Linked DNA regions of Oryzias latipes. The protein of the gene in region 2 binds, or shares a complex with, the protein of the main gene of each other region. Links are inferred from orthologs where the notes say so. Each region holds a gene or a part of one and is shown on either strand. Other genes may lie near its edges.

Region 1 (4,109 bases), on a different chromosome or scaffold from region 2:
AATTTAAAAAAAGATATGTTTTTTAGCTGGTTTTCAAAGTCTGCAGATCTGAGGCTGAGAGGAAGGGAGTTCCAAGAGGGATGGAGCCACCGCTGCAAAGGCTTTGTCACCTTTAGTTTTTAACCGGGTTCTCTTAACAACCAGCAGACCCTGGTCACATGATCTCAGGGACCAGCTGGGAGTGTACGGCTGCACAAGGTCTTTTACATAGTCTGGTTTTTTAAATGATAAAAAAAAATATCTTAATTTAGCATCTACATGAAAGCAAAAACATAAGTGAATTATTTTTTCATCACTGGAAAAATATTCAGGCGTCGTGAGGTTAAATGGTGACATCAAACGTTACCTTTAGGGTTGTTTAACGTGAATTAAAAAATTATTCAGAACCAAGGAGGGATGAGAACTGATTAGCAATTATTCAGTGATTTAAAAAAATTTTATATTTAACATCACAAGAAAGTATTTGCATAATATGTATTTACTTGTTGTTATATAGACGCATCATTAAAGCTCGTTTTAGAACCGTTTTCCTGTGATATATACCGGTACATTTCTTACATGTAGTCTAATAATAATAAAAGGAGTAGCTAGTAAGGCAATTACCTTATTTAAAAAGGTGGAGAGAAAAAAGTTCCCAACATTAAGTTATGCACAGGAATAAATTACTTCAATGAATAAAAATAGGCTCATAACAAGACAAACTAATGGGTCAAGCTTTGCTTATATTTCTCTTGCTCTTATTAGAGCAAAAATGTTTTTATGTCTGACTAGATAAAAAACCCTACAATTTTTAAGACCATTAAATATTTCCAAGTTCATTTAGCTACAATGTTGTTTTGGTTAACTTGTACTGAAGTGATGAAAAAAGGGTTTTTGTGTAAATTGGTCTTAAGTTCAGTAAAGTGAATACTTTGTAAATGTTGAGTAGAAGTTTGATGAATTTGCATCTAAAAAAGTCACTCTGATCCTCTTTTGATCCATTTTCACAGCGTTCCCAGTGGTCTTTAAATGTACACAGACCCACAACTAATTATCTTTTTTATTTGGTGACGTTTTAAGTTTTCGATCTGGTTTTCAGGTCATACTGACAGAATTCGGACATGGCTTGTTTGCCAAGAACCAAATGAAGTCCTACCTAACTCTGTTAGGAAACAGAAGTATTTAGGGAAGAACATAGAACTTTAAGGGTTTCTTTTGAGGGAGAGGTGTGTATCGCTTTGAATCTAGAAGCCCCACTGCCTTAAGTGAACTAAAAGTTTTAAAATCATACTTTGAAATACTCAGCCTCGTCCTCTAAGGGCTTAAGAAGCTCTTCAAGCAGTCGTATTTCTTCATTGGTAATATCTGCACAATACGGTTCAACTGAAGCCCAGAATCTGGAAAAAAAAAAGTAAAAAGTAAACAGATTAAACATAAAAAGGGTTTTAATCCACCAAAACAAATAAACTAAACAGTGAAGCAAGGTTGAAGCCGAAAAAGATAAGTATGGTGTGAAAAGCGCCTCGTGCTGACCTGTTGGGAGCATCATTTTTGGGGGTGCACGGGATATCTTGTGGTTCATCTGTAAATTCATACTCTTGAACTTTCGGCTGCAGGTTTTTGGATTTGGGCCTTCCGGGACCAGGTCCTTGTCCATGTGCTCCTTTCCCATCCAGTTTTTGTTTCTTGGGCTTGTGGCGGGATGTGGCTGCAGGATCAGGGTCTTTTCCCATTTTAAGGAAGCGCTTGTCTCCCTTTTTGTCTTGCCAATCTGTGAGGATCTGGAAGGATGAAAGCGATGCGGTAAATCAAATGTTGCGTCCATCTGCTGCTGAATGGATGAGCGTCCACCTACCTGTCTCTGCTCCTCCAGGGCTCGCAGGCGGCGGCTGGCTGAAGACAGGAGCGTCTCCAGCTCCAGCTGCAGAGTATCAAGCTCCCCGCTGCCGATGCCATCGTCCTCTGAGCGGCCCAGCACGGCGGTGTAACGGGGACACAACCTGACATGATCCACGGGCTTGAAGTCGTAGTATTTCAGCGGGGAACAGTCCTTCAGCTCGCTCATGATGTTGATTGTTGGCAGGGAGCCGTTAGTCTGATGTAACTGACGCAAAATGATGAACAGCGGGGTAATTTACAGACCATCTGAAACGAACACACAGTTCATCCTGATCACGTTTGGCCATAATTAATTCATTAAAAACACAACACATAGATACGTACGCATCACACACGACACACTCGAGCGGGGCTGAACCAGCGGCCGGCCAGAATTGCCCCCAAATTACATTTTTAATTACACAGCGAACTGCTTAGAAATGGCTTATATAAACACAAACGTTTTTTTAACGCCACACACTTCAAGAACAGACGCGTAATTAATTTTTAAAGATCAACGATATTTACCGTCAGTGAAGGTGCCCATGATGGATTATACCATCGTGCAAGTGGGGGTGTTTTTTGTAGGCTTTTTTTTTAATATATCACCTTGAAGTGAACACAGTTGCTGTCTCAGCATTTGTATAGAATAATACATATAAAGAAAAGACATAATGCCAAAAAATATGGAAAATGGGTAAATGCATTTTACGAAATCTAGAAAACGCCCAAAGCTGCATCTGTGATGGTACTGTCGGAAGAAACCATTAGGTCAATCTGAATTTGTCAAGTAATAGCCACTATGTTTTCAACTTAAATGCTATTATATGAAACGAGTACAATTATGACTATAAAAATTTAATATTGAGGCAAAAAATTAAATAATGTGTAGATATTACAAGCCTAAATTGTCACTGAAGAAAAACGTCTCCCCCGTTGTACAGTGAAATTGAAGTCCGATTGGGTTTGCTCGGTTTCTTATAACGTGTTTTCTGGATGGGTGGAGCCACAAAGCAAAACTGCTAGATGAGTTGCGCACCGAGAAACTGTCGACCTCATCAAACGAAGACAAGAAAACAAACGCACCCTAGCGTTACTCTACTATGCAGGATTTACGGAAGAGCCGTCCCAGGCGTGGCAGAGGAACTTCCGTCTTTTACTGCTCAAAATGGTAAGTCTGATGCATAATATTTTCGCTTATATTTTACAATTTAGCTTTTTATTCCAAGCAACTATGGATATTATTAATGTGAGAAAAGCTAGCTAGCTTCTAGATCTTTATCCGGTGTTAGTGGTTCGATCTAGTTATCGGAGGGCAGGCATCCTTCATGTAGGTATGCAGAAACTAGACTAGAGTGACAGAAGACGTGAGCTGCCTTTTCCTGTTAGCCTCTTTTTCATTTAGGCTCTTTTTTGTCTGTTATGTCACCCGGCAATCTTTAAAAGATACAAAAAAAAGAAGAGATGATCACATTTTTTACTAAAATGTTGCTCTAGAAATCTCCCCAAATCCCATCCTCTGTTACAATAAACTAGAGAAAAGAAACATGCTAATGGCTTAATTCATTACTAATCACAATATTTGGTTGAAATGATAAAAAATGGCATGGAAATGTAATGTTCTAATTGGTGCTTATATCAGCCTTGATCCCTTAGTGTTTCAGTAAAGCAGGATTCCTTCACATACTGATCTTCTGCTCATTCCAGACAGCGACTCTGCGCCCCTACCTGAATGCTGTGAGGGCCACCCTGCAGGCCGCCCTCTGTTTGGAGAATTTCTCCTCTCAGGTGGTGGAGCGCCACAACAAGCCTGAGGTGGAGGTCAGGTATGTGTCACATCAGCAACTGCAAGCCTTTCTTTTTTTATATTGTTGTTGTTGCTTGCTGCTGTTGCATCTTTTCCGATTGTGGTTCGTCAGCTGCTTTCACACAAGTTCGGACCTGTGCGGACTTGTACTGGAAAATATTTGTGGGAAGGGGAAAAAAAGACATGGACGCACCAAATGTAGCTAGCTGCAGCTTGCCTGCAGATGTCCTCCTAACAAAGTGAGACAGAGCAGCTGGAGATTTGAAAGCTGAAGGGATCTGATGGCCATGTGTTTACAGGAGCAGCAAGGAGTTGCTGCTTCAACCGGTGGTGATCAGTCGTAACGACAAGGAGAAGGTGTTCATCGAAGGGTCCATCAACTCTGTCAGAGTCAGCATTGCTGTGAAGCAGGTCCTTAAAAAAATCTCTACAATATAATACGTTT
Region 2 (2,710 bases):
CCGGCAGAAGAGGCGTCCCGTTACACTCTGTGTCCTTCTGGCATCGGCTGATGGGCGCTGAAGGCGGTCTGGAGCAGAGCATCAAGAGTCCGTACACGTCCCGCGTGCTGAAGCCGTACATCAGGTACCCCCCGCCCCGGCCCGCCCCGCCCCGGTGGCCGTGGGCGGTCAGGGTCTAAGGTTCTGTCTCTGGTCTGCAGGAGGGACTATGAGAGCCGCCCTCTGAAGCTGCGGTTGTTGGCTGAAATCAGAGCGTACCCCCACAGGAAGGACCCGGCCTGGGTCCCTGAAGCCGACGCCCCCATCGACTACTGCTACGTCCGTCCCAACCACATCCCCTCCGTCAACGCCATGTGTCACCACGGCTTCTGGCCAGGTGGAGTATCTCCTTCCAGCCTTTGGCCTGCTGCCCCCACTCTTCTAATCTGGCTGGCTCCTCCCCCAGGAGTGGACCTGTCCGAGTGCCTGCAGTACCCGGACTTCAGCGTGGTGGTCCTCTACAAGAAGGTGGTGGTGGGCTTTGGGTTCATGGTTCCGGACGTCAAGTACAATGAGGCCTACATCTCCTTCCTGCTGGTGCATCCTGAGTGGAGGAGGGCCGGCATCGGGACCTTCATGATCTACCACCTCATCCAGGTGGGTGGGGGTGGGCGGGGCTCTGACGTCCAGCTTTTGTTCGGTTGGGTCCAAAGCTTTGTCCTCCTCTGGTTCTTCAGTTTACATCAGAACCTTTTAGCATCTCAGCTCCTCCTCTGTGCTGGATAGGGGTGTGATGGTAACCCCACCCCCATCCAGTCCTTAAGCATTATGGGGGATTTATTACTGAGTCTGATTTGAATGAAGAGCAACATGAAGACGGATAATAAAAGCAGCAGCAGCAGCATTTCAGCGGCACTTTGGTTGTTAACGGTTACCTGAACAGTTGTTTAGTTGTTGTTACTGTTATGTGTCTGTTATTACATTTGCTGCGTTCTGATTCGAAGCACCGCGACTCCTGCTGCTTCATCAGCGCGGTGATCAAAAATCCCACACCGTCAAAGCTCTGCTGCTGGCTCCACCCACTTGCTAATTTAAACCACGCCCCCTGAGGTATAAAAAGTCATAACCATCCAGAAACTTTGGAAAGTACCGGTGTGGGCAGATAACTTCCACCTTTCCAGGCAGGCCCGGCCAGCCCTGGTCTCCAGAGCCAGCCTGGTCTCCAGCCCCCCCTCCACCATCTTTCTGCTGATTGGCTGAATGCACCTGCTTTCGGTAGTCCGGGTGCAGAGCTGGAGACCTGGCAGGGTTGGGGCCCTTGAGGGCCAGGGTTGGCCAGGTTAAGCGTGATTCCAGTGGCGTCTGGCGTGGCTGACGCTGTGTCCGTGCCGTTTCAGACGTGCATGGGGAAGGACGTGACGCTGCACGTGTCGGCCAGTAACCCCGCCATGCTGCTTTACCAGAAGTTCGGCTTCAAGGCCGAGGAGTACATCCTGGACTTCTACGACAAGTTCTACCCCGTGGACAGCGCCGAGTGCCGCCACGCCTTCTTCCTGCGCCTGCGGCGCTGACGCCCGGCTGCTGATCCAGTTTGGTCCGTCACCTCCGACTTCCACGTGATCCTGTTTTCCAGATCCAATAAAAGTTTCATTCAGGCTTTCCTGACCACAGACTGCATTACCCATGATGCACTGGGCTATGTCACTGTGGCAACAGTTTGAGCAGATAGGAGAAAGCTGGAGCAGGAATTTGTCCTTTGTTTGGGGGGGGGGTCACAGCCCCACCTTCATGGAAAACAGAAGGAAACTGTTTCACAGACTTGGGGGGTCACTCCAAGTCCATGGGGGTCTTGGCCTCAGTTGACAGACCCACCTGGTCCCAAGGATGGCTCCAAGTCCCCGGTGACTGGGGCCCGTGACCTCTACCCCCACCCCCCATGATGACATGAACTGGGGGGGGGGGGTTCTAAAGGTTCTGTCTGAATTGTTTCCCTAACTATTGAAGGTTCTCCATCTTCTAGTTCGTCTGGATCTACGCTTCCAAAATCCAGAACCCTAAAAATTTCCCAGAAGTCTCTGCAGAAAACCAGTGTGCGTCCATCCTCACTACATCAGTGAATATAGACCACAATGCATTGCATCGGAATTATTTTTTGCCACAAAAATGTATTTAATGTCTTTTTTTAAATAAACGTCGTTTTTGTCTTCAGGAGACGGCGGATCAGAAATAGACTCCAAACGCTCAATGGTTAGATTTTCATTTCGTGAAATCAATGGCGTGCAGTGAGCGTGGCGTCTGCATTGCTTTTTACATCCAGGGCAGGGCACTGCATTAGTAGAGGGGGGGTCAGAGGGCCAGAGTCGCCCTCAAAGACATGAACTCTGAGTAGAAACATTTTTATTGTAAATAAAGCTGAACGCTTCAAGACTCTCCTCCCCCACCAAGGAAAATGTTGGTCACCATCACAGCACTGAGCATGCTCAGACATCAGACTCCTCCCACTCAATGTCCCAGAGGAGGTGCAGTCTGTCAGACGGCAAACCCCTGGCCCCGCCCTAAAGGTTGGAAGACATCGGCGCTCAGGCGTGACCGTCCCAGCAAGTCTGGTCCAGTTTGAGCTGCCAGCAGAGACGCCATGTCGCCGCCGCCGGAGCTCGCCGCCACATCGTAAGGCGTCTCCCCCACAGCGTTCCTCTGCCTCACGCTGGCCTTCCATCTGAAAGCAGGGGGG
Region 3 (4,174 bases), on a different chromosome or scaffold from region 2:
TTGTGAAAAGCCTGCGTAATCCAATATTCAAGAAATCCGACGATCCTGTGGCTCCGCGTCCCAAACTTCACTTGAAGTTTATAGTTCGTTCACTCAACAACACCCGTCAGCCACGACCAGCCCCCACGGAGACCGGTTTCACTACAGGAATCACGGAGGATAGCCGCCACTCACCGTTTCCGCCATGGCTCTTTTCGCGCCTCTCTGTTGCTTTCAAGGACCCTCGGATATTTAAGATTTAGCATCATTTCTGTTATTGTCGCGTTGCCTTTGTCACTCAGCGGCCGCACATCATAAATAAACTAATCATTGTGTTAAAAAATAATCAAATAACATCGTTGATATCCGATGTGTCACAGACATGTTTTATTTTATTTTTCTTACATTGATTTGATTTTATAATAGTATAGAATATGACTACATTAAAACAAACTGAATTTAGTTCAAAAACACTGAAATATGTAAAAAATAAATAATGTAAAAACTCAATGCCAACAATATTAGAGAAGCAAATCTTTTTATTAATCTGGATTTGTTTTGTTCTAAAAAAAAATGACGGCATGATTCAACTTCCAGCTTCACGTTAACCACAGTTTGTTTTGTTCAGGCGACTTACTTTGATCTTTCAAAAGTACTTTTTCTGACTGTCCTGTGTGCTCTTAAGGGAAACGTTTACAGTGACCCGGGTCAGGATCAACCCGGTTCTGTTTGGAACCACAATGAGCAGTTCCTCTTCTGGAGCACAGGTGGCGCTGGAAGCCTCTTTTTTGGTTCAGGTTGTCCCACCACGTTTGATGCCGGCGCCGCTCATTTCTTCTTGTTCTCCTTGCAGGCGACCACGTAGCGCTGCGCCACATTCAGCGGAGGAGAGTAACCGTCGGCGTACGACGTGTCCTCGAACAGAACCGAGTAGTCGTCCTGAGGCTGCACACAAACACAGCAGGGACAGTCACGGACCAGGGGGCTATTCCAGGAAGCATGTTTAAACTAGCCTGACTTTAACCCTGAACTCTGGCTGAAATCCGCCTGAACTTGCTTACTCTGGGTATGTCGGTTCCCAAAGACCAGATATGAGTTAGCATAATTACGCTCCACTTGGTAACCCTGGGTTAATGCACGTGCACAGCAGGTACATAAAGACATTCTCAATGGATCACAGATTTCTGGAGTCACCATGGAAACGCGTGGAGAAAAAAAGAGAGAGCGCTTCAGTGAGACGGAGTCTGAGATTGTAATGACGGCTATGAAGATTATACGTCCATCAAAAAGTAACACGGCTGCATCATCAGCAAAAGAAAGAGTTTCTGCTTGGAGAAAAAGAACAAAGTAAACGCACAAGTTTCTGATCTTATTTCTATTTTCATGTGATGCATATATTCATATATATATATATATATATATATATATATATATATATATATATATATATATATATATATATATATATATATATATAACTTATCCAATTTTGCCAACGTAAATGAATTACTTCTATTGGTAACAAGTAATTGAGTTAAATTTATTCAATCTAATTTCTTACGTCTATAAAACTCAATAGTTGTTTTTACAGCTCAAATTTACATATTTATCTAACTAAATGTCATATTACTCCAATTCAAGTAATTTTTTTTCCATCGTAATGAATTATAATTCTTGAACTCTCAAATGTCTAAGTTTGAGCCGGCAGATCCTCATTTTAATAACAATAGAAAGAACAAAAGAGTGCGTTCATTCATTTAGGAATTTTCCAACATTGTCAGTATTCTAGTTAACCGTAGGGCTGCTCTATAAACTCATCATCCTCTTCCTCCCTCTCACTCATGGTGCAGAGACGTAAGCATAGTAGGACAAAATAACTCGGTAAAACACAGTAAAACAGCTACACAACTAAACACATTTGGTCAAAAACCCACACTTAAACCCAAATCCGTCCAGACAGGCAAAGGGAATGATATCCCACAATCCCTTGTGGTGCCGATCTAACAGCAGCACCAAAGTTACACCTACTTAATTGAATTAATTTGAATGAAAGTAAAATAACTGTCTGATAACTACGTGTTATTTTAAAACTGACTTAAAAAAATGATTTATCTTAACTGAAGCAAATAATGAAGTTAGATCAAAGTAAAAAGTTTATCTTTCCAACATCCATATGTGGTCTTATCATCCTCTCATGGTTGAAAAAGTATTATCTGAGCTTTTTCATCCACTAAATCATCTTCAAATGGACACGCCATGCTGCTTCACCTCTCTGAAAACAAACTAACCTTCAACTAAACCTGCTCCAGACCAGGTTATGTTCAGAGCATGAGTTGCTATGGCAACTTGACCTACCCTGAAACATACCTCCATTTCTGGAACTGAAAGCTGAGGTTATCAACTTCCTTAGCCTCAAACTTACCGTGGGAGCTAGCAGAACCTGCTATCTGGAACACCCCCCAGAACCCACACCTCGGGTTACATACCTGCTGGAGTTTAGGCCACGCCTCTCTGGGGAGGCTAACAGTTAAGGGGCGGAGTCAGACAGGTGCTGTAAATTAAGATGGTTATAAACTCCCTTTTCCCGTTTTTTCACAGACATGTGAACCTTACTGAAGCTGAGGGTTCTGGTTGAACGTTCCAGCACGTGGAGGTGGGGGGGGGCGGCGGCTCACCCGGTGCGGCGGCGTGTGGATCAGAGCGCGGTAGAAGCAGGTGGTCTGCGGGTACAGAGCCAGAACCAGCTGGTCCTTGCTGAACAGAGCCTCGGGGTCCGTCTCCGGGTTGGCCTTCCACTGAGGGAGGGGGATGATCCGGCGCCGGCTCAGGGTGTGTCTCCTGACGGTTCCAAACAGAACATTCAGAGATCTGCTCCAGAACCCAGAACCCACCCAGAAACAGAGGAGAACTCACTCTTTGCCCTCTTCGTCGATGTCATCCACCTCGTACCTGCAGCAGAGAACACAGGTCAGAGCCGGCACGTGGGCGTGCACGTGGGCCTGCATGTGGGTGTGCACGTGGCTGCGCGTCTGCGCCTCACTTGTTGGTGGAGTGGCTGTAGCTGACCACCTCAGCCAGGATCCACTGCTCGTCGCCGTCCACCACCTTCACTCTGGCCGCCACCTTGTCGCCCTGCTTGGCCACGTAGTCGCTGCTGGCCGGGATGGCCCCGCATAGAGGAGGGGGGCTGCGGGTCACGGGGGGGGGGGGGGGGGGGGGGCAGAGATGTCAGTCATGCAGCAGAACACCATTGAAAACAAGCTGGGTTCTGTCCTTCCTCAGAGGAACACGGACACCTCTCTCCGGGTTTCCCGATCCACAGTGGTAGCGTCATGGCCGACTGCTGCAGGAGGGTCATGAGCACGCCGCGCCGCATCGTCTTCCTGGGGGGGTCGTTGTCACTCTGAACCCTGGCAGACTTCGCGGCTGGAAAAGACAGATTTCTTTAGAAACCAGAGGAGACGGAGGAGCAGGAGCTCACTGCTGCTGCCTGTAGCTGCTGCTGCTGCTGCTGCTGTAGCTGCTGCTGTAGCTGCTGCTGTAGCTGCTGCTGTAGCTGCTGCTGCTGTAGCTGTAGCTGCTGCTGCTGTAGCTGCTGCCTGTAGCTGCTGCTGTAGCTGCTGCTGCTGCTGCTGTAGCTGCTGCTGTAGCTGCTGCTGTAGCTGCTGTAGCTGCTGCTGTAGCTGCTGCCTGTAGCTGCTGCTGTAGCTGCTGCTGCTGTAGCTGTAGCTGCTGCTGCTGTAGCTGCTGCCTGTAGCTGCTGCTGTAGCTGCTGCTGCTGCTGCTGTAGCTGCTGCTGTAGCTGCTGCCTGTAGCTGCTGCTGCTGCTGCTGTAGCTGCTGCTGCTGTAGCTGCTGCTGCTGTAGCTGCTGCTGCTGTAGCTGCTGCTGCTGCTGTAGCTGCTGCTGCTGTAGCTGCTGCCTGTAGCTGCTGCTGCTGTAGCTGCTGCTGCTGTAGCTGCTGTTGCTGTAGCTGCTGCTGCTGTAGCTGCTGCTGCTGTAGCTGCTGCTGCTGTAGCTGCTGCTGTAGCTGCTGCTGCTGCTGTAGCTGCTGCTGCTGCTGTAGCTGCTGCTGCTGCTGCTGCTGTACGCACCGATCCTCCGCTCCTCCTGCAGGGACTTGATTTCTGCGATCTTGTCCAGAGCGTGACGCAGGATGCTGCCAGAAAATCAACGAGAGGCGGATGAGAGGGAGC
Region 4 (4,288 bases), on a different chromosome or scaffold from region 2:
TGAATAATAAAGTTTTTAAAAAATCAATTAAATTATTAGTGAATTCTCTGCTGCCTTTTTGTTGATTATACTAATTGCTTTTTTCTGTAAATGAAACAAAGGCTTTATATATATGGACAGAATATGCTTTTCCCCAAACTTCGAGGCAGTAACTAAATTACACTTAAATTAAAAAACAATATAACCACTGTTAAATAATATTTTCACCAATCTTCTTTTTTAAATAATTAATGTGAGATTTCCATTAAACAGCAGAAATGACTTGTAAAAATTGTCACATTTTGAAACCAAAAGACAATGAAACTAACATGACACCAATGATAAATAGCTAAATGATAAAACATTAAAAACTTGCTTTTTGAAGTTAGTAAAAATAAGTGTATTCAAAAAGAAAACACTGGTAAAATGTCTTCGACCTCTTACCAGTTCCCAAACCCGCAATCCATGACTGCCTCCAGCAGAGCCATCTCCTCCTGCGCCGTCCATCCAGGCTCCAGCACCGGGAAGTCTGAAGTCTGAGTCGAGGTAACACAAAAGATGCCCGCTAAACATGATGTTTAGCTACACCCGAGAAACTCAACTGCAGCTCCACTCACCATGATTTCATATCTGTGATCACTCTGATGCTTCTTGTATTCAAATCCTCTGGTAAAACACTGGAACGAAATAAGTTCAGGGTAAAGCTGGTCAGGTAAAAGACACGATTTGTTCATTAAATAAAAGTTCTTTGAATGCACTGAGGAGGTTTTCTTAACTGAGAAAAGTAAAACTTACATGCAAATTAAGTGAATTCATAAATTGTATCGATATGACGACCATGAAAGAAGCAGCAGTTATAATGTGGCTTATTTTTCAAATAAACCCAATCGTAAAGATCTGGTCATTTATTTCCCCATTAATTTAACAGTGAAGGAAATCATTTTGCAAAATAACAAAGTTCTAATCTAGAAAGAAAAAACAAGTGCATTTTTGGAAGTAACTAACAAAAGAATTTGTATTCAACACAGGTGTGTGAGAAAGCACAGTATTAAACCAGGTTAGACACAATTTGACTTCATCCTTTTAAATAATTTTAAAAGATTTCATAATATCAGTGTGCTATAAAACTATAATAAAGCGTCACTTTTTAAGAAACACATTTAGAAATGTGATCAACAACATTGTAATGTACTTTTAATACCCTTTTACTACAGAATGTAATACTATATTTAAAAACTGTACTTATTAATATATAGTTGATATATTTTATAGATACAAAATTAAATATGTCAATTATTTTAATTTTTAATAAAATTGTATCTATCATAGAATATTTGTAACAATAGAAAACCCTAGAAAATGTAACACTTAACACTCATAATAAAGAACATACATACAAAACATTATTTGGTTTAGCAATACGATCTAATGCTATTTGAACAAATTCAAAATTCAGAGTGCAAAAGTATTTTAATTTGTGCTACATGATTTTTTCTCAAATGTAATAATGTTTCTAAGGCAATAAATATATTATTTAATAATGGATGTAAGACTTACCGTATATCCTCCAATAATAGCCCTGACATTAATTGAAGACCAGCCACTATTGGAAGATATATGGTATTGGCAATGTAAAAAATAAATAAAACAATTGTTAAGAAACAGGATAATCAGTGGAACATGAAAGAACTGGACGGAACACCCTGACACCTCTTTATTATACACTGCCGTGGGATGGCATCATGTTCTTTCATTTGAATTTTTTTTCTCAAATCAGGTATAGTAGTTAGAAATCTGTGGAAGGCGATCAGTGCTGGGCGGGCACTGATGTGGAAACCTCCAGAAGTTCCAAAAATAAGGGTCAATCAATGGCTACAGAAATAAAAGCAGTTTGGCTATTTGGAAAACCTTGCATACCTTCTGCTGCTCATTGCACAAATGCGCGTTCCTCACAAATATGGACTCATTTAAAATATAAAGCAAACTAATTTTGCAGAAGTCTAACATTTATTGCCAAGAAGTTTTGCAACAACAACAAGGAAATACTGGGCTAAAAAAAAAAATCGTAAGGTTTTGTCCAAAGTGTTTAAACTGTGGTCTGTCTGCGTAAAGTTACAGCTGAGTTATTCGGTTTGTGTTCAAACACACATTCTAAAGAGCCAAAACAAACAAATTATAAGCATCCTCATCTGGCTTACCTGAAGACACAACAAAAAAGGTGAAGGTCCACATTCTGCGCACTTGATGTATGGTTCGGTTAGATGGGATGAGCAGCCTCTGCAAGGCGGTTTATCAAAGGGGTCATCTAAAATGAACAGAATAATTATATATATATTATCAGTAACAGTTTTAATAGTAACAACACGCAGTTAAAAAAGATACATATAGCCTAAAGTCGTGATTTTGGGGCAAACTTGAATGCACAAAACAGATGTTATCTTGGGCGAAGGACTAGCTTTACTAGTCGAGCTTGAAAATGATGATAATGTTGAATGTCTCAACAACAGGTCGAATATTTTCAACAAATCACTGCGGCAAACAAAAATAGCATTGTTTTTGACGGCGATGCTAATGCTAAAGATAGCTTAGCAGACCTTGCTTTATGGACAAAAACAGCTAACCTTCCAAAAAGTCGATGGATACTTGGTAAAACTGCAATAAATTCAACTGTGTGTATAATAATGCCAATACGTACCTGAAAAAGACGCTATTCGGTCCATTTAATTGCTATTTGCTTCTCAATAACAACACCAAAATTGAATTTGGGTCGATCTGTTTTTCAGAACTCGGCTATGTGCCTGATGACGTCATAACTAATCGAGCTCCGAATATCGATAGTTTTGGTCGTGTATCACCACACAAAATGATATATATACTATTATGTTTTAATAGTTGTGTGCCATGTCCTCATAGGTTCTTACAAAGGCAGAAGAAACTCAAAAATTTGAACAGAAAACAAATGTTGTTTAAAAAAATGTATGAAATATATAAAAAAGCCACATGGAATATTGCATTTTAATGCAAAATGATTTTTATAAAAAGGTATTTCATCTTTAACTTTCTTTTCCTTCTCTTAAGATTTTTGTTTTACATTTATTTTGCAATGGGGAGAGATTTTAACTTGTTTTTAGTTTCTCCATCTCATCACCATGACGACAGTACTTCCCTATATTGCCACAAGGTGCTGATCTTGCTCTATGTCTCTTAAGGCAACAATGAGCACCCTGAAAGCCTTTGTCTCCCTCCCAGCACAGATGATTACCTGAGGCTTGCATAAGCATCATGTGAGAAATAGAAATAAAGATGATGAATGTTCTGTGTCACAACACCCCCATGCTGCTTTTTGTCCTCCATAAACTTTTTGCAGAGGTGCTGCCTGGCCTGCAAAAGGCTTCAAGACATTTTCTTTAATATGAAAACCAGCAAATATTTATGAGTACCAATGTTTTCCAGTGCCTGTGTCCAGGTTTGGCACCCCCAATTCAAAAACAGCTCAAACACCCTCAAGAGCATGCCAGTGAGGGCCCATGAGGAGCCTTAGGAAAACAAATATCTGAAACCCTAATGCATAAAACTGCAAATCCACATGTGCCAAACTCACTTAAAGGTAGAAAAAATAAGTATTTGAGTGAAATGACTGATTTAGTACAGATGTGGCTGGAAAAAGGACTGTTTGATTTTCATGAAACCTCTTAACCTCTCTGCAGTTACTAATTATGACAGTTTTTATTCTAATATTTGCATTTCTGTCATTGATACCAGAAAATCTGATTCCTTCTTTCTTTGAGGTGATTCAGAGCAAATATATTTAGACTGCAAATCCCCACAGAGGATGAGGGCAGCTTCCTAAACCACATGATGGGTTAACTCTGAATGGGCTGCTCTGTTCCAGCTTGCTTGAGCCTTCTCTGTGAGTTCAATACATCCTGATTGGTCTGTTCGGTAGCATCCTAGCCTGCGACTCATCTCTGGAGCCTCTAGGGAGAGACACGGTTTTTAACGATAGTCTGTGTATGTTAAGGAGATGCACGCACACTCTTACTCTTTTGGAGGAATTTCCAGCTCACCGTCATACTAGCTTGTAATCATCCTTTGAGAGGGTCATGATTTATTCACCTATGAGGAGAGACTTCTCCTTTTTGTGTAACGGTTTGCTGTTGTGTGTTGAGCCAGAGTGAGCTTCCTTTTTTGTTCCTGGCTGCAGCATTCACACCACATGCCCACAAGTGTGTGATCAAACGTGGCTATAAAGGCCACAACTTTTCAGGACTATCTCAGCAGAAGAGCCCTTCTATCAACTGTTTGTTTC
Region 5 (4,026 bases), on a different chromosome or scaffold from region 2:
CAGTTATATTTTTCTGTTGCTCTCAATAAGCTGGCTAGCTTCTGTTAAAAAATCCAAAATTATTATTTAAACGAATTAACTAACACTAACAACAATATTTATCATAATTTCAAAGGAAGTTCTATTTCTTTATTAATTTTTCTATGCCACTAAATAAAGATCATTGTGAGAGAAACTACTGTTTGGCATTTTGAAATGTTTGTCTTTAGAAATTACATTAGATCAAGTTCTACAGGTAGAACTTGATTTAATGTATATTTACACTTTTTGGAAGTGTAAATATAACTTAAAAACAAAATGTTCACACATGGCAACGGGGCAACTCTAAGTCAGATAAAACAAAGAATAGTAGGGATGTAACACTTAATTAATTTATTTATCCAGATCAAAGTCTGAGACAAGTTGTTAATCAAATCGATAAATACCATAAGATCATTTCAAAATTAAATTGACTATAATCTTTACTGAAAAATACCATTTGGATTGAGGCATTGTAGGTTTATTTTACTGTAACTTAAAAATGACCACGTGCATCACAGTGGACAACACACACACACACGAGATGACAGCAAAACACTTTTGATTTAGCAAAGACGTGACCAAACAGTGTGGTAGAATGTTCTGATAATGTTCCATTTGTATTATTTTTTATGTGGAAAAACAACAGTAGGCAAAACTTTATGAAACTAAAATGTGAATGGATTTGACATTGGTACTTGATTACTGGCTTGTTTGTACACATATTTAATTTACACTTGATTATCTTGAAAGAAATACAAGGAATGTGGAAAAACTTCACCTTGCACTGTTAGTACCCAGGTATTTATCTCTGAGCCACATTGGTTGAATATTTGGCTGAAGATGTTCTGGATCAAAATAAGGTCAGTGAATCGTAATAAATTTACTGGTTCACTATGATCTAAAATTAACTATGAATCATATCAGCAACCACAAATTATATGAATCAAATTATTCTTAATATTAATGTTACAACTGCTAAAAACAATGCATTTGTAGATACATACTTTTTTTTTCTTCATTTAAAATAAATATATTTCCAAAAGTAGGCAATCTTAGAAAAATCAGAGATAATAGTTTGGTTTTGTAACGAAAGAAAAAAAAGATAATTACATCTGTAGCTCCCTGCGGAACAATTTCCAATCATTTGTTGTACCACCCGACTCCATCCTGGTGGGCACCGGAAATTGTTATAGCGCACACTCGGAGCCAATCAAAAACGCCCTTTGTCTGACGTCGTAACCGGACACATTTCAGCTAATGTTTGTACAGTACACAACTCCAAATTATAAACCTAAACAAAACATCTGCAATCAAATTTTGGTCAAGTTCAGGACTTACATATAAATACTCCAATTATTTACGAGTAGAACTGACTATAATTCTTGCGCTTCGTAAAGCAAACAGCTCCGCTTCATCTGCGCTTAATTGTTAGCTTAGCTTAGCCATGCTCTCCGCTTTCATTGGACTTGTGTGCTGCGTCTCAGTTTCGCCACGGACGACGGATATAAGGATATAATTTTTCTTCCCCCTCCCTTTTTTTACTGTAAGCTTCAGAGCAATCTTGGACATTTATTCGCCGATTAAATACGATATAGGAGCGCCGCTCAAGCAACAGAACCTGCTCATTGTTTGACATTTGGTTGGTAAGCTAGCCAGTGGGCTAACTTAGACTAGCTCGCTTGGCAACATTTCCATCGATATTTTCTTGAACCGTTATCTGTCTACTGTAACATGGACATAGAGAAGACAGTGAACGCGTGATAAATCTTCTCGAAGAAGCGGAGTTCCACTATTCTGTTCCTTTCCCCCCTTTTTTCATCACTATGGCTTCCTCGTCTGGAAATGACGACGACCTCACCATACCGAGAGCAGCTATCAACAAAATGATCAAAGAAACTTTGCCTAACGTACGGGTGGCCAACGATGCCAGGGAGCTTGTGGTCAATTGCTGCACAGAGTTCATCCATCTTATTTCCTCCGAGGCGAATGAGATCTGTAACAAATCCGACAAGAAGACCATATCTCCAGAGCATGTCATTAACGGTTGGTTCTCATTTACATGTATTTACCACCTCTTTAAATATCGCTCGTCCTTTATGTGGGTGGGTGTGTGTGTGTGTGTGGGGGGGGGGGGGATGCAAAGGAGCACGGATCCTCCTGCAAGCTTCACATCATAGAAAGTGTAGTTTCAACCTCGTGTTTCTGCACCACAGCCCTCGAGAGCCTTGGTTTCGGCTCGTACATCACAGAGGTGAAAGACGTGCTGCAGGAGTGCAAAACGGTTGCTCTTAAGAGGAGGAAGGCCAGCTCTCGACTGGAAAACCTGGGCATTCCGGAGGAGGAACTCTTGAGGCAGCAGCAGGAGTTATTTGCCAAGGTCTGATCTCAGAAAACTGCACCTTCAAATGTGGCTTGAACACCCACAATAATATTAACCTACAGATCATGATGAACACGGGCACACAACTTGTACTTTTCATTTGAGGTACAGAAGGGCTTGGTTTTGTTAACATTTTCAAAAGTTTCTAAACTGGTCATTCCATTTAAGGATATCAATCCCCTTTAAGATTGGATGCAAACAAATTTAGGTGTTTTAATAGAAAATACTTAACTAAGCTCATAGAGGAAGTATTTAAGATGAAAAAAAATCTTTTCCTGTCAAGTATTGTAGAAATGAAGACATGTACACACAAAACAATTTCAAATATCATATAGGCATACACATTTAAATCAACCTGAATGTAACTTCCTCTTTGAGTTATGCTGATTGTCCTGAAACAAAGCACTCTCTGCTCATTCAAAGTAAGTTAATGTGGCCCTTTCAGCTTTAACTGACAGGCCATGGTGTGTTTTTGCTAAAGGTTTTTTACTTTAAAGACCCACTCAAATAAAATATCATGTTTTTGGTGTTTTCTAAAATCTTCTTGTGGCATTTTTCTGATGATGGAAGACGTATCATAAGAAAAACAAGCTTCATATTACATTTCTGAGCATTTCTTCATTCAAATAGTTCTGAGTCAGGAGCAAACGACAAAATGCTGTGTGGAAAAAGCTACAATCGGCGGGCCACAAGCTTCCCTCTCTGCTCCATTCTGATACATCCTCTTGCAGACAAATGCATCCATGTACGTCTTTTTCCTCGTCTTAACAGGCTTCCGACTCAGCTATACAGCTGGAAATCCAATATTGCTTATCATTTTTGTCGCACTGGTAAAGTTAGGTTGGGGGTTTGAGGGGCTGTAAGCTAGAAAAATGCTACAAGAACATGTTAAAAACACCAAAAGCATGATTTTTATTTGAGTGGGTCTTTAAGGTCAGAGAGATGTATTTTGTTCACATTCCTTTAAAAAAAACATTTTGTTCCTATGTATTGCTTTGTTTGATTTGCTGCGTTGTATTTGATATTCATTTAATAAATATCCAACAACACAAGATAAACCTTTTTGAGAAGTTACATGTACGGTATATATTTAAAAAATTACCAAAAACTATTATTTCTGCAGTAACCGGCCGGACTCACTGCAGGTTGCCATGAGCTTGAATGGGTAAACCTGAAGTGCCACATTGTGTCAAGCACTCATGATAGAATGTGCGTCTTCTGCAGGCGCGGCAGCAGCAGGCGGAGCTTGAACAGCAGGAGTGGCTGCAGATGCAGCAGGCTGCCCAGCAGGCACAGATGGCAGCAGCATCTGCAAGCGTTGCCCAGCAGGCGGGCTCTTCTCAGGATGAAGACGAAGAGGACGAAATGTGACCCCCCCCCGCGACCCACTTTACTGTGTTTGAATTTAACGTTAGGAAAGTTTTGGTACACAAATCTCAGTTTTGCCATGAACAGGGACTTAAAACATGTTTGTGTACTTGAAATTTAGAAAGCTAAAGAAAGGGATGCGAGGGGAGAAACGGCCCCACATGCACATTCAAAGAAGCGTTTTTACCGGAAAATGGTAAAAATGGAAAGGCTGTTTGCGAAGTTTTTCATTAAATTTATATTCCCCTGGGTTTTTT
Region 6 (3,500 bases), on a different chromosome or scaffold from region 2:
TTAAAGAGAAGAACAGACAAGAGGCTTTGGGTGCAGAGATGTGCAGAAAAAAAATCTTCCAGATTTGATCATTTGCTGTACTTTCCATTCTCTGTAGCCATTAAACGTTTTCAAGGGCATCTTAGAGGTTTGCTTTTAAACTCTGTGGAGCATCGGCAGCACTGACAAAAAGATTTGTACCTGTGGGCCCAGCAGACGAGGAAGTCATGCCGATCATTTGGCCAGGTTTGTCTACTATGATATAAGGGTTGTTGAGCACAGAGGAGCCATCCTTGGTGTGAGCGGGGGTGGAGGCGATGGGTGTGCGAGGCAGGGGAGAGTGGCTTGGGGTGGAGATGGGGGAGCCTATAGATGAGAAGATGTACCAGTAAACAGATACAGAGTAAATCTTTTGGTGTTTTATATGTCAAAGATATTGGAGGAATTGAAATGGAAGAGAACTTGAGGGCTAAGATAGTCTAAAGAACATCAACTGTTAATCACACCAATTTCATGAAATATTTTAAGCTTTTAACACCTCTAAATTTGACTGTTCTTTTTCATGGGGTGCTTTTTTTTGGCAGCTCATCTAGGACTTCATTACTGGACCTCCTCATCAGATGTCTCCTTTAGCTCTTAAGGGGGTAGGCTTTCCCAAGAGAACACTCCTAACCATAATCAGTCCATTCTGGAGCCCTACGTGTCTAAACTGCATCATGACCCGATACCAGACAGTTGGTATTTTGGGTACCCAACATTTATGATCTCAGATGAGGGTTAGAACATAAAAGACAAAAAAAGGTTATATATTCAATTTATTAATGACAAAAAAAATCACTTTTCTTAAGAAAAGTGTCTTTTCACTTAATTGTTGTTTGTAATTTGGTGGTAAATTTATCAAATAAATGCTTTATTACATGTGAAACACTGACATAATGAAATATTTTATTTTAGTGACTAAGCTCAACTTCTGAATAGGGCAGATATAGCTGCTATAAAAAAAACTGATGGAGACACTTGCCTGAAACTATTTTACAGCTCATGGTGATGGGTTGGAACAGTTTCCCAGGAGATTCAGCGGGACTGGGTGGCTGTCCTTGAGGGACTATCTTACAGCTGGCTGTGATTGGTTGGAAGGCAGAGTTGCCATGGGAACCCAAAGTAACCCTGTCACCAGTTTTGGGACGTGTTGGAGTGCGCTCACCAGCAGCAAGAGAAAGACCTGAACTAAGAGCAACTGCAGCACTTCCCACTTCTGCTTTAATCAAACCTGGAGACAGGAGGAGAGACTGCTTTAAAACTTTGTTTCTACCTCGTCTAAAGTCGGCACAAAGCAGTTGGCATAATGTTATCTAGATCATCATATCTTTCACAATAAAGACTTTCATCTAGGATAGACTGGGGATAATGAAAATGCACGTAAGGTGCATCAAAACAAACAGACATAGATGGTGGATCAACCTGAAACTGCATTGTCAAAAATCCACCCATAGGACTTTTAAGTCGCCTCTCTAGCAGTTCTGATTTACCCCATAAGGCTAAAATCCTTCAATGCGATCCATTTTCATGGTCATGTTCCAAAGCTATTTTTGTGTCTGTTTTTGTACCTTTGTCTACACTGCCGTCATGGGAGATGGGGGAAGCAGATCGTCCGCGACTCTGGGCAAAGCTGGAGGCTGACAAAGGACTGGCTGTTCCTTGCGTCACCTTGGAGGAAGACGACTGAAAGTAGTAATCTTCCCCAAGAGAGTCTCTGTGGAGCTCCACATCAACCACCTGGAATAGGAATAGCGGTGTGTGACTGCAAAAGCCTGAGCGGAGAAGTCAAAACAGGAAATGTTGCAGGAATCCAGGACTTACAGTTTCTGCCCCAAGGGTCTGAAGTCCAGTGTACGTTCTGTCCAGCTGCGAAAAACCCCAAGAAAAGGTCAACAATAAACAGGTGCTGACTTATTCTCTTAGCTACAAATGTAAATATGCCAATAAGTCAGAATGACTTATTGGCATAGTTGCAAGACCAACTATCTGGTTGCCTGGAGGAGACTTGGTCAAACTGGATATGGAAGGTGGAAGTATTTGATGAGATCTGACCTTAAGCTGGTGAATGATGTCAATACGTTTGTTGCGAGGGTCTTTGAAGTGGATCTGGATCCTGACAGGAAACTCCCCCCAGCCACGACGCGTTAAATGAAAGGGGGACTCACTGAGAAAAGAGATGTGCTTACAGTCATTCCAAGAAAAATCGAATTGAATCCCAATTAATGCTTTTAGTGTAAGGGATTCATCTAACACAAACAAACACAAGTTAGTTAAAGTCCCACTCTGATCATCTTATGTTCTATTTTTTAAATCGTTCTCGGTGGTCTTTTATTTATGATTAAGCTGAGTTGTTTTCTAAGGCATAGTTTCTGCAGAGCGGCAGTAGTTCATTAGAAATTCCCCTCACCTAACATTACTGGCGAGCAATTTAGAAGCTATTCAGCCGTACAGTTTTGAGGCAGATGCCAAATAGGGAAAGGAAGACTTACGAGGATCTAGTCGTTTACAAGTGGATGCATCAGAATGAAGTGGAGAAGGGAGCCCCGTGTTTTCTACTTAAAAAATAAGGTCTATTACAAAAGGCATTTTTTCGTTTGCTCCCGATTCACAACAACTTGAATACAGAAATCCTCAGAAATGTAATTTTAAGTTTAAAAGTTCTTTTAATATGTCCTCAATCCTCAGAAAAATGCCACAAGAATGTTAAAAACACAATTTCGAGATGGCATTTAACTACAGAAACAAGATGTATGTTAGAATTTCCAAAGTCTTTTAAGGCTTGTTTCCTTTACTTTGACACATCCGCTCATCTACATTTATGCCGTGTTCAGTCAGACTCAGCCGGTGAGTCAGTCAGTCATGAGAGGCTCATGAACGGCTGTAGCAGCAGTGTGAGTGCATCTTCAGCTCAAAGAGTTGCCAAACTTGAGATATCTACATTAAAATTGCAACCGTTTTGTTGATTCATAAAAAACAGGTAATTTGAGCGAAGGCAATGTAAACAACAACTAATTTAAACATGTGAGAGTCATGTTGAGGATAACGTTTGAAATGCAAAATGAGCAGCATTTCCTCCTAATCGATGGCCTCATTAAGCCTCAATTGAGACCCGAGTTTCTTTTGAAATTAGGCTGCATGAGCTGCAAGATCAAACAATGCACAAGGGGGCGGTATTTACTAAATTATATTTTTCGCTACATTTTTCCACACAAACTGATAAATCACATGTCAGGAGGTGATGAAGAGTTTGATATGCCTTTTAATTTGTGCAAGAGGTTTGTGGAAGGAGGAAATGCAAACCACTGACTCAGAGTCTTCCTGTGACAGGGGAGTAAATATTGATAAAAAATACTGAAACAAAGCATGGAATCATATCACCGCTGCCTTTCTTGCAGTTATTGTTGCCTCGGGTGATCAGAGAGAAGCTTACCCTGATTTTGTAAAAATACTACCTATGTTAGAAAAACATGAACCACAAGGGC
Region 7 (4,189 bases), on a different chromosome or scaffold from region 2:
TTCCACCCAAACGCTCAAAAAAAACACCCCAAAACCCATAGAACCATAACGCTACCTTGAAGAGGTAAAAGTACACTTGTTTGGTATCAGTGTCCTCCTCTTTGTGCACAGACATGAACAGGTTCTCCACGTCAACCACCATGCCCAGCAGCCTGTTGATCTCCTCCTCAGACACATTCTCCAGATGAGACACGTGCTCCGCTGCAAAACAATTACCGTACAGTCAATGCATATGTTCTACTGGGATCTCTTTATATTTTCAAAATTGTACTGAAGTTTGGGGAAACGTAGAAATCTGTAAATACTGCAAAAAAGAGCTATCAGAACAATTGACGTACTAGTTTTTAAAGAGATTCTTCTCTTTCAAAAACAGTTCAACTTAGAGCAACATTGTAAAAGTATTTTAAAAAGATGTGTGCAGCTAATACATTCTCATCACCACATGTGGCTCTTATTCCCCTTCATTGTGGCTCTTTGGCTAAAGTAAAAAAAAATTCATTTGAAAAAGTAACTTTATAGTAAAAAAATAATAATTAAGTAGTAACTTAAAGAAAAGTAAAATAGACAACCTCAAACTCTTTTCAAACAGGCCAAAGACAGTACGTAACACAAGTCAAACTAAAACATTAACTAAAAACTGAAACACGTTGAGCGCCGATAACCACAGAAAATCAATCGGAGGTCACCAAGCACAACCAGAATTTAGAAGCACTGGATTATAAAGCAGATTTTTTAATTCTTTTAAAACAATTCTTATTGATTTTAAGTGTACGGTACCTTGTGGTTTGAAATATACAATAAGGGTTACTTATTTAGCTCTTATTTAAATTTAGTTTGTTCGATTTACTCTTTTCTGGCTGAGATGGACCCCCAATGGTAAAACAAAGTGTGTGACATTACACTACCAATAAAAACATTAGCTGCTTTGAGAGGATCCTTTGTCTAAGGTGTCCTTTATTGAAAGGAAGTCATATGAATCTCGGCCAAAAGTTATACACCATTTCTCATTTTTCTTAAAAACAAACCCAGATATTTTCTCTTTGTTTATGCATAAAAACAACATTATATATATGCTGCTGTCTAAGTATGTAGCCAACAAGGGGGCCCAAGTTTGGGTCCCCCTGTGCCGGTCCCCAGCCCAGATAAAAATACAGGGTTGTGTCAGGACGGGCATCAGGTGTAAAAACGTGAAAGTTGATTCAATGTGGCGACGCCTGAAGGGCTATGTTGAAAAGTGAACAACAGCAACAATAACAAAAATACCAACTAATGTCTTATTTTTTAAAAGGCTAAAGTAAGACTTTGTAGCTCCTACTGGGTTGTTGTTGGTTAGAAATCCACCAAAAGTGTTAAAAGGTTGCAGACCTCTAGACTACACTATATATATATACGTTTTATCTTCAAACTTGGAAAAACAACTATACATGCATGAATATTGCACCAGAATAATACTGACTGTAAACATGACGCACAATATTAACCGCAATGTTCATTCTTAAAAACCAATTCCAGTAAAAATCTTGTTTTTGGTGTTTTTAACATCTTCTTGTAGCGTTTTTTCTCGTAATGGAGGACATAGATAAAGGAAATTAAGATTTAAACTGAGTTTCTGAGTATTTCTTCATTCAAATTGTGGTAAATCAGGAGCAGACGAAAACATGCCGTTGGAGAAAGCTTGTAATTGCTGCTGTAAGGAGAGCGCGGACACAAAGGGATGATGGGAAATGCGAGCAGGCTCAGTCCGTGCCAACAGTTCCACCCAAAACTCAGGTGGGTTTCTAATGCACGAACACGGCTCTTCAGAAACGATGTCCTAGAAACCCAAACGTTTTTTGATTTAGGCAAAATCTGCCTTATCATAATTACATCAAAAGATAATTGGAATGAGACTTTAAAGTCGCAGTTTCTGCACAAATTTTGCCATTAATCCCAAAGCCAGAGGAGGAACAACTAGTTTATTTTCTGACTATCACAGTAATGATGGGCATGTTTGCAAAGGGCAAACCGTGTATCTTGTGCAGAATCTGTAGTGTCGTCCCTCAGACGCATTAAACAGTGTGATGAGCCCTTCAGCGGTACTGATCTCCTGTTCTTAGTCAGTGGTTTAAATGGAGGCTGAATAGTTGGTACCCAGAGCATGTCCACAGCTGCGGCAGGGCTCGCTCAGGCTGGCTGCTTGCTGCTGCAGATCCAGACGGGTGGCTGACGGTGGGTTTGGGTTCTTCCATCCGTTGCATTTGCATGTGTCATTGGCCTGAGGACGCGAAGCACAAACAGTGAACGGCTATTCAGCGGCCGCAATGACTAACGGATCAATTACGCTAGCTGATGGGTTTGGCTACAGATTTGTGAATATAAATTATTTTTACAACAGTCGATGGAGGGGAATTAGTTGACGTTGCTCCACTTCTACTTTGTGCTCTAAACATATATTTATAAACGCTAATAAATCTCAAGACGGCTCTGTTGTGAACTTTGGCTAGCTACATTAGCTACCTTGCATGCGGAGAACACGCCAAGTTTCTCCAGCTTTTTCGCCCGTGGGAAAGCTCGAACTTGGGCTTTCTTCTGGCTAGCGCGCTGTTGCTGGCTGAGTCCTGGCCTAGCCGGGTCGCTATTGCCCGACCCGGAGCCTGTTGCAGCATTACCGGACCCAGCTGACCCAGCGGACTGGGTCTGTGGAAGCCGGGGTTGTGAGGCCTGCGCTGCCGGGTCCGACATATCCACGCTGCTGCTGGAGACTTCCTCTGTTGCCGTTGATCTCATCTGGTGCCTTCAGGTTCCGGGCAGAAAGCTGGATTTTACAAACACCAAAAGCTAAAAATTCAAATAAAAAATGTACACAGCATTAAAAGCATATTGTTTTAATCGTGAGTGAATAAAAACCTAAAATAAAATATTTACTATTTGAAAGGATCATTTGGCTATTTCTGGAAATTTTAAATGTACAGGTTCCCAGTACTGTAGTAAAGCGGTGTAGTGTCCTCTAGTGGAAAAACATGAAAGCAACACGTAACAAATGTTAGGCTCTATGTCAAGCTGTTCTAGAATGAAATCGGCATCCTTGTTTTAAGCCCAACTAGTAATGCCAAAAGTACAATTATTTAAAACGAAATGCCATAAATGTGAACTAGTTAACTAGTAATGTTTAGAAATATGTACTAGTTTACTAGTGGGCAATACTTGTGCTTACTGGTTGGTTAGTGACAATCTAAAAAGTCAACTGGTTAACTAGCTGCATACACATTTTCTACAGCTCCACTAGTAAGGCTCTTGTAAAGCTCACTAGTTAACTAGTGTGACCAAAATGTTTACTCCCAAACTCTGATCAATTTTTCCATTCCACATTATATATATATATGCACACACACACAAAAGGACAGACCCAGTTAACTGTAATGCAGAAGCTGTTTTTCTGGAGTACCTCTGCTATGGTCCACCTAGTGACCGTTTTAGGTATTGCAACTATGCATACCTCAATGAAGACTTTCAAAATTAAACACAATTATTTATGGAACTATATTGTTTCTTTATGTCTCAAAGAAACAGCTTTTCTCTCATTAAATGTGCAACTTTAAGACAAAATACATATTTTAACAGCAACAACTGTAAAGTGAGACAGTTATAAACAAAAAATGTTTTAAAATGTGGATTTATGCATGTAAAGATTATCAAAATTGTATAAGAAACCAGTCTATTATGAAATGTTTGACACTGGAAGTACTATACCTCATGTCAAAGCAATAACCGACAGGTTATCAGGTAACCTGTAAAGATGTGTGAAATTGTTTTAGGGTTTTAGGGTGGAAAAAATGAGTAGAAACATTTCCAAGCCTCTGAATTTCATTTTAAATTCAAAGATTTTTAAGCTATTTTCAACAAAATCATACATGAAAAGATGTCTACCCTCATTTATTCATGAAAGTAGAATCGTTTTTCCCACAATCCCTCCCTTTCAAGATGCAACGGCTGCTATTTTCCATGGTTGATGCCATATTAGGATGGATGACCCCCCTCCACCACCACCCTCAAAAAAAGTTTAAAAGCTGATGCCTCACTGATGTGAAAATTAAGAACAAAAAAAATGTGGTGAACGCTGGAGAACATCTCAATTCATAAAGATGATGAGACAAAACCAGTGCATTTAATACCAGAGATCTCCAGAAAGAAAAAGAAAAAAGGAAAAAAA

What was found.
Region 1: kat14 (region 2) and tada3 share a complex: the UniProt entries of both Homo sapiens proteins name them as parts of the ADA2A-containing complex. The link is inferred for Oryzias latipes from reciprocal best matches to the Homo sapiens genes KAT14 and TADA3.
Region 3: kat14 (region 2) and sgf29 share a complex: the UniProt entries of both Homo sapiens proteins name them as parts of the ADA2A-containing complex. The link is inferred for Oryzias latipes from reciprocal best matches to the Homo sapiens genes KAT14 and SGF29.
Region 4: kat14 (region 2) and tada2a share a complex: the UniProt entries of both Homo sapiens proteins name them as parts of the ADA2A-containing complex. The link is inferred for Oryzias latipes from reciprocal best matches to the Homo sapiens genes KAT14 and TADA2A.
Region 5: kat14 (region 2) and dr1 share a complex: the UniProt entries of both Homo sapiens proteins name them as parts of the ADA2A-containing complex. The link is inferred for Oryzias latipes from reciprocal best matches to the Homo sapiens genes KAT14 and DR1.
Region 6: kat14 (region 2) and yeats2 share a complex: the UniProt entries of both Homo sapiens proteins name them as parts of the ADA2A-containing complex. The link is inferred for Oryzias latipes from reciprocal best matches to the Homo sapiens genes KAT14 and YEATS2.
Region 7: kat14 (region 2) and kat2a share a complex: the UniProt entries of both Homo sapiens proteins name them as parts of the ADA2A-containing complex. The link is inferred for Oryzias latipes from reciprocal best matches to the Homo sapiens genes KAT14 and KAT2A.

Annotation. Positions count from the first base shown.
Region 1 is NC_019863.2:25,385,741-25,389,849, reverse strand, and holds the start of tada3 (transcriptional adapter 3), read right to left. Parts: upstream 2,801-4,109; 5' UTR 2,386-2,800; intron 2,349-2,385; exon of another isoform or gene 2,203-2,348; intron 2,125-2,202; 5' UTR 2,045-2,124; coding exon 1,835-2,044; intron 1,761-1,834; coding exon 1,513-1,760; intron 1,377-1,512; coding exon 1,271-1,376; intron 1-1,270. Other genes in the region: actin-related protein 2/3 complex subunit 4, read left to right, coding at 3,026-3,028, 3,565-3,683, 3,964-4,075. UniProt on the Homo sapiens protein: Functions as a component of the PCAF complex. The PCAF complex is capable of efficiently acetylating histones in a nucleosomal context. The PCAF complex could be considered as the human version of the yeast SAGA complex.
Region 2 is NC_019859.2:448,648-451,357, reverse strand, and holds the end of kat14 (cysteine-rich protein 2-binding protein), read left to right. Parts: coding exon 1-124; intron 125-200; coding exon 201-376; intron 377-445; coding exon 446-636; intron 637-1,376; coding exon 1,377-1,550; 3' UTR 1,551-2,210; downstream 2,211-2,710. UniProt on the Homo sapiens protein: Component of the ATAC complex, a complex with histone acetyltransferase activity on histones H3 and H4. May function as a scaffold for the ATAC complex to promote ATAC complex stability. Has also weak histone acetyltransferase activity toward histone H4.
Region 3 is NC_019866.2:658,581-662,754, reverse strand, and holds the end of sgf29 (SAGA-associated factor 29), read right to left. Parts: intron 4,138-4,174; coding exon 4,073-4,137; intron 3,406-4,072; coding exon 3,276-3,405; intron 3,167-3,275; coding exon 3,020-3,166; intron 2,929-3,019; coding exon 2,893-2,928; intron 2,818-2,892; coding exon 2,655-2,817; intron 925-2,654; coding exon 808-924; 3' UTR 501-807; downstream 1-500. Other genes in the region: nfatc2ip (NFATC2-interacting protein), read right to left, coding at 175-186. UniProt on the Homo sapiens protein: Chromatin reader component of some histone acetyltransferase (HAT) SAGA-type complexes like the TFTC-HAT, ATAC or STAGA complexes.
Region 4 is NC_019871.2:10,132,969-10,137,256, reverse strand, and holds the start of tada2a (transcriptional adapter 2-alpha), read right to left. Parts: upstream 2,801-4,288; 5' UTR 2,700-2,800; coding exon 2,675-2,699; intron 2,285-2,674; coding exon 2,178-2,284; intron 657-2,177; coding exon 597-656; intron 516-596; coding exon 424-515; intron 1-423. UniProt on the Homo sapiens protein: Component of the ATAC complex, a complex with histone acetyltransferase activity on histones H3 and H4. Required for the function of some acidic activation domains, which activate transcription from a distant site. Binds double-stranded DNA.
Region 5 is NC_019862.2:24,028,850-24,032,875, reverse strand, and holds the start of dr1 (protein Dr1), read left to right. Parts: upstream 1-1,226; 5' UTR 1,227-1,844; coding exon 1,845-2,064; intron 2,065-2,234; coding exon 2,235-2,398; intron 2,399-3,625; coding exon 3,626-3,772; 3' UTR 3,773-4,026. UniProt on the Homo sapiens protein: The association of the DR1/DRAP1 heterodimer with TBP results in a functional repression of both activated and basal transcription of class II genes.
Region 6 is NC_019875.2:23,341,641-23,345,140, forward strand, and holds part of yeats2 (YEATS domain-containing protein 2), read right to left. Parts: intron 2,183-3,500; coding exon 2,071-2,182; intron 1,885-2,070; coding exon 1,840-1,884; intron 1,756-1,839; coding exon 1,587-1,755; intron 1,250-1,586; coding exon 1,001-1,249; intron 346-1,000; coding exon 181-345; intron 1-180. UniProt on the Homo sapiens protein: Chromatin reader component of the ATAC complex, a complex with histone acetyltransferase activity on histones H3 and H4. YEATS2 specifically recognizes and binds histone H3 crotonylated at 'Lys-27' (H3K27cr).
Region 7 is NC_019866.2:6,157,278-6,161,466, forward strand, and holds the start of kat2a (histone acetyltransferase KAT2A), read right to left. Parts: upstream 2,801-4,189; 5' UTR 2,767-2,800; coding exon 2,497-2,766; intron 2,255-2,496; coding exon 2,131-2,254; intron 202-2,130; coding exon 56-201; intron 1-55. UniProt on the Homo sapiens protein: Protein lysine acyltransferase that can act as a acetyltransferase, glutaryltransferase, succinyltransferase or malonyltransferase, depending on the context.